Oryza sativa Japonica Group: one gene and its partners. Each later gene encodes a partner of the first gene's protein in a complex. Links are inferred from orthologs where the notes say so. Each region holds a gene or a part of one and is shown on either strand. Other genes may lie near its edges.

Region 1 (3,087 bases):
CTGCTTTCTTGGTCTGTTCGTATAGATTTGATTCTTAAACATCCAACTTTGTATTCAGGACACATTGGCCTATGTGCTATACTACCCACAAAAGCCTCTTGTTACTACTCGTGCTATGGAACATTTGCACTTCAGACAGTTACCAGCTGGCATTGTAAGTGAACAATCTTAACCGCGGGACACCTTGTTTGCTTTCTCTTCATGTTCTGCATTTGTTTTGTGATGTAATTACTAATACCTTGCTTTGATGATTTGGGAAGAATGCAATTGTTGCTATTGCATGCTACTCTGGATATAATCAAGAAGATTCGGTTATTATGAACCAATCTTCAATAGATCGTGGATTCTTCCGATCTCTGTTTTTCCGCTCATACAGGTATGAAGACATTACACTGTATACTTTATAAGTTCCATCCAATGCTTGTAGCCTGACAGTCCTTCATATGCAGAGATGAGGAAAAGAAGATGGGGACTCTTGTCAAAGAGGAGTTTGGCCGTCCAAATAGGGAGAATACTATGGTAATGCTCCCCTAGATTCATTGAAGATTTTATCTTTGTCGGTCTTATGAACTAATGTTTTTTGAAATTTTCCTTGCAGGGAATGCGTCATGGGTCATATGATAAACTAGATGATGATGGACTTGCACCACCAGTAAGTAGAGAACATTATTGTAGGCTTTTCTTTATCATGGCGACATAATAGATGTGCTGATATATATTCATGTATCAGGGTACAAGGGTATCTGGTGAAGATGTCATTATTGGGAAGACATCTCCTATTCCACAAGATGATGCCCAAGGGCAAGCTACTAGATACACAAAGCGTGATCACAGTACTTCGCTGCGCCACAGTGAAAGTGGGATGGTGGATCAGGTCTGTTATTCCCTCCGCCGCCTCTTATGTTTCTGTGCTGTGTTATGACACTGAAATCAACAGACTTCTAAGTCTACTATCTTTTGTGCAGGTTCTCCTAACAACAAATGCTGATGGTTTAAGATTTGTTAAGGTTAGAATGCGATCAGTTCGTATACCACAGATTGGGGATAAGTTTAGTAGTAGGCATGGTCAGAAAGGAACTGTGGGAATGACTTATACACAAGAGGACATGCCATGGACTATTGAAGGCATCACACCTGATATTATTGTGAATCCACATGCTATTCCATCCCGTATGACTATTGGTCAACTGATTGAGTGTATTATGGGTAAAGTTGCTGCTCACATGGGAAAAGAAGGAGATGCAACTCCTTTCACTGATGTTACTGTGAGTAATCTTTTATAGACTTAGTCTTGATTATATTCTACTTGTTTTTAAGAAAATGTTCAACCCCTAGCTTACTGCAATCAGTTATAATCTAGTTATAGTCCCAAGATTATGTGATAATCAATCACTTTTTCTTTTATTGTTCAAACCTGCAATAATCTGAATTTGTTACATAAATTTCAGGTGGATAACATCAGCAAAGCACTTCATAAATGTGGTTATCAGATGCGTGGATTCGAGACCATGTACAACGGTCACACTGGAAGAAAATTAACTGCCATGATTTTCCTTGGTCCTACTTATTACCAGAGACTTAAGCACATGGTGGATGACAAGATTCACTCTAGAGGCCGTGGTCCTGTGCAGATACTTACCAGACAACCTGCAGAGGGGCGCTCACGCGATGGTGGTCTCCGGTTTGGAGAGATGGAGAGGGACTGTATGATTGCTCATGGCGCTGCATTTTTCCTTAAGGAAAGGTTATTTGACCAGAGTGATGCGTACAGAGTCCATGTATGCGAGAAGTGTGGGCTTATTGCTATTGCTAATCTCAAGAAGAATTCCTTTGAGTGCAGAGGGTGCAAGAACAAAACCGACATTGTCCAAGTAAGTATAATTCCTTCTTCTCTGTACTGTTAATTACTATGAATCTAAAGCCTATTTATAGAAGTAATAACTACTATGGCAATAACGGGAATTACACTGCTACCTACTGACAGGTGCATATACCCTACGCGTGTAAGCTTCTGTTCCAGGAGCTTATGGCGATGGCCATCGCTCCCAGGATGCTCACTCAGGATAACAAAACTGGGAAGGATCAGAAGAAACGTTGAGACCAAATATTACATGGGGCACTCGCTTGTCGTACTATGTCTTCGTTCATAGTCAATACTTAAATCTAACTTGGGCTTAGCGGTCTGACCCCCTGAGGCAGAAAGCAGTCAGTAGGCCACATCCTCGAGTTATATATATCCCTGGTGTGCTGTGCCCTTGGATTATGCCAAATTGACGCCATGGGCGAAGTGGTGCAAAGAAATTTTGTTTCTTGTATACTAGGGATACGGATTAAGGGACTGTACTGAACAATCTTTTACCGGGACTAAAATGTTGTTGTTTGTACTGTTTCTTTTTTATTTTTTTTTGGCTTTTGGGGATACTAGATCCCAACTCGAATATTGCCTGTATTGGCTCTACCAGCACGATATCAAAATTGTTTGATGAGAGATCTTGTAAGAAAATAGTAATAATTTAGTGTTAACTACTGCTAGCTTTCTGTCGGGTGCGTCATGAATTAGCCTCAATTACATTTTTTCTACTGAGGCCTGGATGTACTTCGATGTTCAGAGTCTAGTTTTAAATGGTACAATTAGTACACACTAACTGTTTCATGTTTCAAAGTATTTCTGTGGCTAATAACAACACCTTGCTTAAGAAATTTTAAGTCTGTTCGCATATTCATGTTTGTAAACAAAGGAACGGTCAGAGTAATTGTTTCAGATCGTGCGCTTTTTCACAAAGAAATGGAGCAATCATGTGTACGCCTTCAATGAAACGTGTCAAATAGCCCATAAGAATCAATAGTGTAGCTTCTACGATATCCAAACCAATATCATTAGCTTGCACACTAAAACATATAGCCCAAAATCCAATTGAATGAATCGAATTCAATTCGGAGCCAAACAAGATATAATTGAATTTTTGTACAACCACCATGAGTAACACCACATCTCTCTCCTTCTAGTAAACCAAATCAAACTCCATTCGCCACCCAAAACTTGGAACACAAAATTGTACATCAGCATCATCAGACTGAAATTACAAG
Region 2 (4,086 bases), on another chromosome or scaffold:
TAAGCACCCATATATTCAATAGTCACAAATGTGGCTTTATATCATAATTATTATTGATAACAGTAAAGAACAAACAACTACAGACAGCTGCTCACAAAAGAACTAGTCCAAATAACAACATAATTATGCTAACAGGTAACAGCTAGATAACATTCTCACCAGGATATGCATGTAGTGCTTCCATGGCAGCAGCTTGACTAGCAGGATCTGCACCAAGCATGATTACATGTCCACCAATAAGTTCATCCTCTTTATATATATTTGCAAATTCTGCTGGAGGTTTGTCTGATTCAAAATTTGTAACAAGTGCCGTGCCATCGTTTGATGAATCCCGAAGAGTAGAGCCAACAATCTGTTTAACTTTCCCCTGAAAATTTATATTAAGAAACAGCCCATCAGATAAATGACACTGTTAATGCCAGAAGTAACTGAACTCACATGGTTGCAAAATGACAGTAGAAATCAATGCATAAGCCTTTAGTTTTAATATCACGGTGTTCCAGGTGAATCGCATCGCAGGAAAATTTGGAGCATACAAGCTGAAAAAACTTCTGAAAGTACTTTGCTTACAAAGTTGGGGTATCAATTTACGATCATGTTAATGTTCAGAACACCCATGAAACATAAGAGGAAGCAAGTGTTCCACTCGTACGGACCTTATGAATATCGATACACGGCCTGAAGATAACGGCGCACACCACAGCACGTCCTCCTGCCAAAACAAACGAGCAATCCCAGTTTTTCCCCCAATTCGCGACAAGCAGTAACAAATCGAGCCATACAGAGAATCGAATCGAAAGGGACATCATACTCGCCACGCCGGATCTCGCCGGCCGGACGGAGACCATCGGGACAGCCCAACCGGACCGCGCCGCCGCGCACGGTGGAGACGGAACCCTCGATGCCATCCAATCCAGTCGCTGCCACAACCAACAAACAAACACCCGCGAAGCAAATTCAGAAGCAAGCAAGCATGCGGGAGCCCCCCCCCCCCCCAACCCAGGACACGATTCGGAGAGAAGAAGAAGAAACCAGCGCGTACGTGCCGCACCTTCGCAGCCGCCGCCGGCGGGGAGGGGAGGGCTCCGCGGAGGCGGCGCAAGGGCGGCGGCGAGTCGGAGTCGGGGTCGGAGTCGGAGTCGGTGCGAGGCCCAAGCCGAACTAGGTAAAGAGATTTATTGGACGGCCAGGATATGCACAGGGGCGTTGATCCGACGGCTCGAACGCCTCGTCAGGGCTAATAATATTGCCTCTCGCGAGAGAGAAGCCAAGCCAGTTGAGTCGAACTGTTGAGGAATCGCTCGCTCGCTCGCTCGCTCGCCGGCGGCGCGGACGAGGAGGGGGCGAGATGTTCTTCCACATCGTGCTGGAGCGGAACATGCAGCTGCACCCGCGGCACTTCGGCCCGCACCTCCGCGACAAGCTCGTCTCCAAGCTCATCAAGGACGTCGAGGGCACCTGCAGGTAGGGCTCGGGATTGGTTGGGCAAACCCTAGTAGGGCGGGGAGGGGATGTGGGGTTCGACGGGATTCATTCTTGTTCGTCCTTTTGCAGCGGGCGGCATGGGTTCGTGGTGGCGATCACGGGGGTGGAGGATGTCGGCAAGGGGCTCATCAGGGAGGGCACGGGCTACGTCACCTTCCCGGTCAAGTACCAGTGCGTCGTCTTCCGCCCCTTCAAGGGCGAGATCCTGGAGGCCGTCGTCACCATGGTCAACAAGGTGGGCGATGTGCCTCCGTCCCTCGCCGGATTGGTATTTGGTGTTGGGTGGATTAGGGCTTGTTTGTGGTTAGTGGCTCCAATTCGTTTTCGTGTTGGTTCTGCAGATGGGGTTCTTCGCGGAGGCTGGGCCTGTGCAGATCTTCGTGTCCAACCATGTGAGTGCCTGCATTGCTTGGAGCTGCTTTTTTCTAATGCTCCAAATTTGTGGAGTAAAAGAATCAGAATTTATGCTAGAATGATCGATAGACGATAATGGTTCAGTACCATTTTCATACACCCAGTTTAGCTGTACCATCAACTCGAAGGATGGTTTTTGTCATAGAAATTTCTGATACTAATTTATCAAACATGTTGGTTTGAACAATCTTAAAGTGACTGGAAGGCAACATAAGGTTCTAGTTGAATTTGTGCTTTCTAACCAACTAATGTTTTGTTCTTGCATTTTCCCGTTTCTATTTTTGTTGTGCAGTTGATTCCTGATGATATGGAGTTCCAATCTGGGGATGTGCCAAATTATACTACTTCTGATGGATCGGTATGCTTCTTTTCTACAGTTACTTCTTATGTCTTGTCCTCTATAAACATTGACAACTGTTGACAGGTTATGATTTTTTTTCCTGTTTATTTATGCTTATTGGTGATATGTCTGACTTAAAAAGAAATGCTGGGGAATGTAATGTAATGTCCATTGTATCCAATTTTGGTATCAGCATGTCATAACTATGCTTGAAATGCATACACATATATGTTCATTGTTTTTCCTAGAAACGAATAGATGTGAATACTGTACTACTGTTGAAGGCTAATTGCTTTGGCCATCTTCTTTTGCTTACTAGGATTTACTTGTTTGTCCGATGCAGGTGAAAATTCAGAAAGATAGTGAGGTTCGGTTGAAGATTATTGGGACACGTGTTGATGCAACAGAAATTGTAAGTTTGTTGACATCTAGTTTCGTGCAAAAAAACAAACGAAAAACCAGGTGTTCCCTGTCTTTTAGATTTTTGTAGCATTGCTCTCAGAGTAACCACCATATGCAATTATTGGTGATGTAACCCACTTTTCCATACCAGTAGTTTGCATGATGTTTTTCTTTCCTAATGTGTGAAAAAGAACAGATGTGGTTTTATCAGCAAAGATCAACCTTGATGTGTGTCAAGTAAATTAGTTGAAAAGTATATCAAAATGAAAATTTGACATGTAATCTTGTAGCAACAAATTGCAAGTAATTACCATGAATGCTCATAAGCTAGCCACTAGTATGGTATCATAATAGATAATTGTTGAATGCATGTGGCTATATTCTTCCCTGAGGCATTTCTGAATCCATGTTCTTGCTGTCATAACTCATAACCCCGTTTAAGCTGGTGATGTGCAATGCTCTAACAGTTTGAATATGTTTGTTGCAGTTTTGCATTGGCACAATAAAAGATGACTTCCTGGGCGTTATCAGTGATCCTGGTGCGGCAGTGTAAATTATCCGGTGACAAGATTACGCCTCTTCATGCTCTTGAACGGGAATATTCCGATGAATTGTAGTGTTAAAATATGGAAGCCCCACTGGAAGGGGCTGTAAGTGGGTTGGAACCTGTATTTTCATCACTATAAATGGCGCTTTACCAAGTTGGCACTGTTGCTTGAGTGTGTTGTGGGATTCAACTTTCAAGCAGTCATTTAACTAATCAAACTCTGACCTTTTTACGGACTGTACAATTTTGCACTGTATCCTTGCAATTAAACATTCAATGCTTCGAACTGCATCCTTGCAAAATAAAACTAAAGAGAAAGAAAGGGCTAATGAAAAAAGATAGGTTTACACTGTCAGTTGTTCATGTTAGGATCAAGCTAAGGGCAGATACAATAAGTTAGCAAGAACACAGCGGTCACCCCACTTAAGTTCTTGACGGCACTTCCTAATGAAGACAGGAAGTATACTTTGATTGTGCAGTTATACTCAATATTCTCACGTGGTCCTTCAATGAAGGATCTGCATACGGCACTGCTCCTGCGGTATTAACAGAAATCAGATGACAGGAGATAAAACATTGGTAAAGAGCAAAAATTATTTGGATATATAAGTCTCAACTCACCTGCAAGGCTGCAAAGAAGTTAGAGCCAGAGGTTAACCTTTCAGTCTTCCTTCCAAAGGGGCTTGCGGTGCATACACTTGATCAAAATGATCTTCCAAAATGATCTTCCTGACGATTCAATCGTTACCATCGTTTCCACGATTCCACTACACAGAAGGGGCTCCTAAGATGCCCCAAAAACTGATTTTGCAACTCAGCATTTTTAAGCAATTAAGGGGATGAAGTTGTCGTGATAGTCTTTAGTTCCTGATTCCTGAAACAATCAAGAAGATACTCT
Region 3 (3,025 bases), on another chromosome or scaffold:
ATATAAGATGCAAGCTTCTTGCCTTTTTCTGTGCTGTGTGCTTGTTATCTTGTACTTGGATGTCAATCTGTCACAGTGAGCTACAAGCAGCTCCACCATGCTGAGGAGGTGTTGAGGCTCAATTCGGATTCCCGGATCACCAGTGCAGTACAGAGTATATGTGTGCCGATGTTCATCACTGATGTGAGATAGAAGAACAAAGTTTTTACGGAAATTCTTACCCCTTTAGTCCTTTTTACTCGTAGCGATTACAGTGGAATCATGTTTGGTCTTCACATGTCAATAAAACTACACAAAAATTAGTACACCATTCAATTGTTGCAAATACGTGGTAAGGTAACCTCTTTTTAAACCAAACAGAACAAAGAAAATCTGGCTGGGTTGTTTCCTGGACAATTTTTTCTTCATCCTGTGCAACGGTTTCAATCAATAACATACTGGTAAAATCCTTTTTTTAAAATCACACATGAATAACTGATAGTAAAATGGAAACATCACTCCCAGAGATCATACATAACAGAAAGACAAACATAAGATAAAAGGAGTGATTATATGAATCAGTACTCCAATTCACCTCCTTTTTCTTTTCAAAAGTCACTAGATAGATATTGACTTAATCTCGGTTTTCATGATCTCACTACATTCCTCCTGAAGGTGATACACTGATACACAGCAGAACTTTGGATCGATTTGATATCGAACAAACCTCAACGAGCATTCAAATCAAATGAGCCCTAATTATGATTCACCTTCTCTCAAGAAGATAACACAGATATTAATTAGACAGTTCACCAGCAAATCTGATAAGCTACAGTCCTACTACTCGAACTTCTTGATAAGGGAGAGGTCGTTGAGCATCTTGTCGATCTTCTCGCTGCCGGGGTCGCCGACGAACCTGCCGCCGGAGCGGAGGGAGGGGACGAGGGCGGAGGCCTCGTCGCTGGTGTCGGGGCAGAGGTTGCCGAGGGTGCAGAGCTCGAACTCGGCGAGGCCGTAGCGGCTCAGCGTCTCCCTCACCTGCCTCACCGCGTCCGGGTTCTTGTACCGGCTGAACCGCTTCACGTACTGCAGCGATTTCTCGAACACCTGCGACACCTGCGACGACGGGTCCCCGTCCGACATGTGCTGGATCTGCTCGTACTTGTGCTCCAGGATTATCGCCACCTCGCAGTTCATCAGGCACTTGGCCTTCAAGAACTCTGCAACCCATCAAACCCTAGGTATCAAATCAAATCAAACCGATACCTCTACTCGATTCCGATTCGGACGGACTCACCTTCCCCGATCTTGAGCTCCGCCGCGTTCTCCTCCTCCTCGCCGGACATCTCGGCGCGCTCTCTCTCCCCTCTCGGTGGCTCACCTCAACCTCGGCGGCTATGGCGTTGGCGATGCGGCTGCGGGCGGAGTCTGGACTCGGGAGGGGAAAAGAAACCAAGGCGGCGAGAGGCGCCTCTTAACGGGCTGGACTCACGATCCGATTCGCTAACAGGCTAGGCCCATTAACGCATTGGGCCGGCTCGATCTGCACGAGCGTGTTCCTTTCGGGGTGATCTGGACCGTCCATCCGTTTACTACTCGACGGCGGCGGCGAGTGGTCGGCGACAAGGACGGCGGGCGTGTCGTCTTCCCCGGCGACGGCGGGGATATGAAGGGGCTCGATTCCCGAGGAGATCAGCATCGGGGGTGTAGCTCATATGGTAGAGCGCTCGCTTCGCATGCGAGAGGCACGGGGTTCGATTCCCCGCACCTCCACCTCACTTCTCTCTTTTTTTTAATTTATTTTTGGTGGATTTATCCGGTGCGGTGGTGCGGGCTCCACGTGGCAGTGAGGCAGGTGGTGGCCTCGAGGCGCCCGCGTGGATTGCAGTGGCGCTGCTCGTCACTTCGTCTCCTCCTCTCCACCACTCGTCGTCGTCGGCGGCGTGGCCATGGCGACACCCGCGCCGCTCTCCGGCCTCCGCCCGCGCGCTCCCGCTCCCGCTCCCGCGGCGCGCAGTCGCCTGTGCGGCCAGTCGCCGCCGGTCGTGGCCCCGCGGCTCGGGGCGTTCCCGCGGCGGCGTGGTGGGGCGGCACGGTGCTCGCCGCGCGCCGAGGCCGGGGACGTGGAGGCGCTTAGGGCGGGGGTGTCGGTGTACAAGCCGCGGTCCTACGACGTGCTCGTCTCCGACGCCGCCCGCTCCCTCGCCTGCGCCATGGACGAGGGCAAGACCCGCCTCGAGATCGAGTTCCCGTACGCCCGCGACCTATTCATTCCCTTTCCTCCATAGATTCGCGCCACCATCTCGCCTAATCTTTTACTTAGTTGGTTATTAATAATGCTTGCATTATCTCATCCTCCTTGTCTCATTTTTTTTTTTGGTGGTGGTGCTTGTGAAAAGGCCTCTGCCGAGCAACATCTCTTCTTACAAGGTATACTTTGCATTTCTATCTCAAGCTCGTCTCATAACTCACACTCATTGTTCTAGTTTCTTGCTTTGTTATGAGTGAATTCTGTAACAATGCAAAGACTAATCTTGATGTATATTATATAGACTGCTCTAGTTTCAGTTTGAATGCTGCTGCTACCTCTGTATAATGTTGTTTCAAAGCAGAATCTCTCTTTTTCCTTGGCTTCAAGTTAAAAAGGGTTTAGCTTTTGTTGCCACATACGTGTGATGAACGCTTGTTTCTAACCATCCTACCCTGCTTTGCTTCGTTTTCAAGGGTTCCTCGGACGAGTTCATCGACGCCAACATCCAGCTTGCTCTTGCTGTTGCCAGAAAACTTAAGGAACTCAAGGGGACTAGATCTTGTATTGTAAGTTCAAGTTTCATGCCTTGTCCTGCTCCAGAATCATTCTGGCATTTGTGGGCATATGCAAATCTTTTCTCATAAATTATCTTCTAGTTGATTCCAGGTGTTTCCTGACCTACCAGAAAAGCGCAGGGCATCCCAGTTGTTCGGGACTGCTCTAGACTCGGTAAATAATGCCTCATGAAACAAAATATCTTAAGAGGATGCAAAAAATTGTTTTTTCCCCTCATGA

The links.
Region 2: DNA-directed RNA polymerase II subunit RPB2 (region 1) and DNA-directed RNA polymerase II subunit RPB7 share a complex: the UniProt entries of both Arabidopsis thaliana proteins name them as parts of the RNA polymerase II complex. The link is inferred for Oryza sativa Japonica Group from reciprocal best matches to the Arabidopsis thaliana genes NRPB2 and NRPB7.
Region 3: DNA-directed RNA polymerase II subunit RPB2 (region 1) and DNA-directed RNA polymerase II subunit 4 share a complex: the UniProt entries of both Arabidopsis thaliana proteins name them as parts of the RNA polymerase II complex. The link is inferred for Oryza sativa Japonica Group from reciprocal best matches to the Arabidopsis thaliana genes NRPB2 and NRPB4.

Annotation. Positions count from the first base shown.
Region 1 is NC_089037.1:25,903,873-25,906,959, forward strand, and holds the end of DNA-directed RNA polymerase II subunit RPB2, read left to right. Parts: intron 1-58; coding exon 59-154; intron 155-260; coding exon 261-376; intron 377-449; coding exon 450-519; intron 520-598; coding exon 599-652; intron 653-730; coding exon 731-874; intron 875-965; coding exon 966-1,265; intron 1,266-1,448; coding exon 1,449-1,871; intron 1,872-1,984; coding exon 1,985-2,098; 3' UTR 2,099-2,538; downstream 2,539-3,087. UniProt on the Arabidopsis thaliana protein: DNA-dependent RNA polymerase catalyzes the transcription of DNA into RNA using the four ribonucleoside triphosphates as substrates. Second largest component of RNA polymerase II which synthesizes mRNA precursors and many functional non-coding RNAs.
Region 2 is NC_089039.1:19,589,711-19,593,796, reverse strand, and holds DNA-directed RNA polymerase II subunit RPB7, read left to right. Parts: upstream 1-1,269; 5' UTR 1,270-1,348; coding exon 1,349-1,464; intron 1,465-1,554; coding exon 1,555-1,720; intron 1,721-1,826; coding exon 1,827-1,877; intron 1,878-2,191; coding exon 2,192-2,257; intron 2,258-2,582; coding exon 2,583-2,651; intron 2,652-3,128; coding exon 3,129-3,194; 3' UTR 3,195-3,432; downstream 3,433-4,086. Other genes in the region: 1-(5-phosphoribosyl)-5-[(5-phosphoribosylamino)methylideneamino] imidazole-4-carboxamide isomerase, chloroplastic, read right to left, coding at 160-367, 657-712, 812-908. UniProt on the Arabidopsis thaliana protein: DNA-dependent RNA polymerase catalyzes the transcription of DNA into RNA using the four ribonucleoside triphosphates as substrates. Component of RNA polymerase II which synthesizes mRNA precursors and many functional non-coding RNAs.
Region 3 is NC_089036.1:900,930-903,954, forward strand, and holds DNA-directed RNA polymerase II subunit 4, read right to left. Parts: upstream 1,416-3,025; 5' UTR 1,326-1,415; coding exon 1,277-1,325; intron 1,200-1,276; coding exon 820-1,199; 3' UTR 532-819; downstream 1-531. Other genes in the region: protein LPA3, read left to right, coding at 1,929-2,230, 2,379-2,409, 2,704-2,796, 2,897-2,959. UniProt on the Arabidopsis thaliana protein: DNA-dependent RNA polymerase catalyzes the transcription of DNA into RNA using the four ribonucleoside triphosphates as substrates. Second largest component of RNA polymerase II which synthesizes mRNA precursors and many functional non-coding RNAs.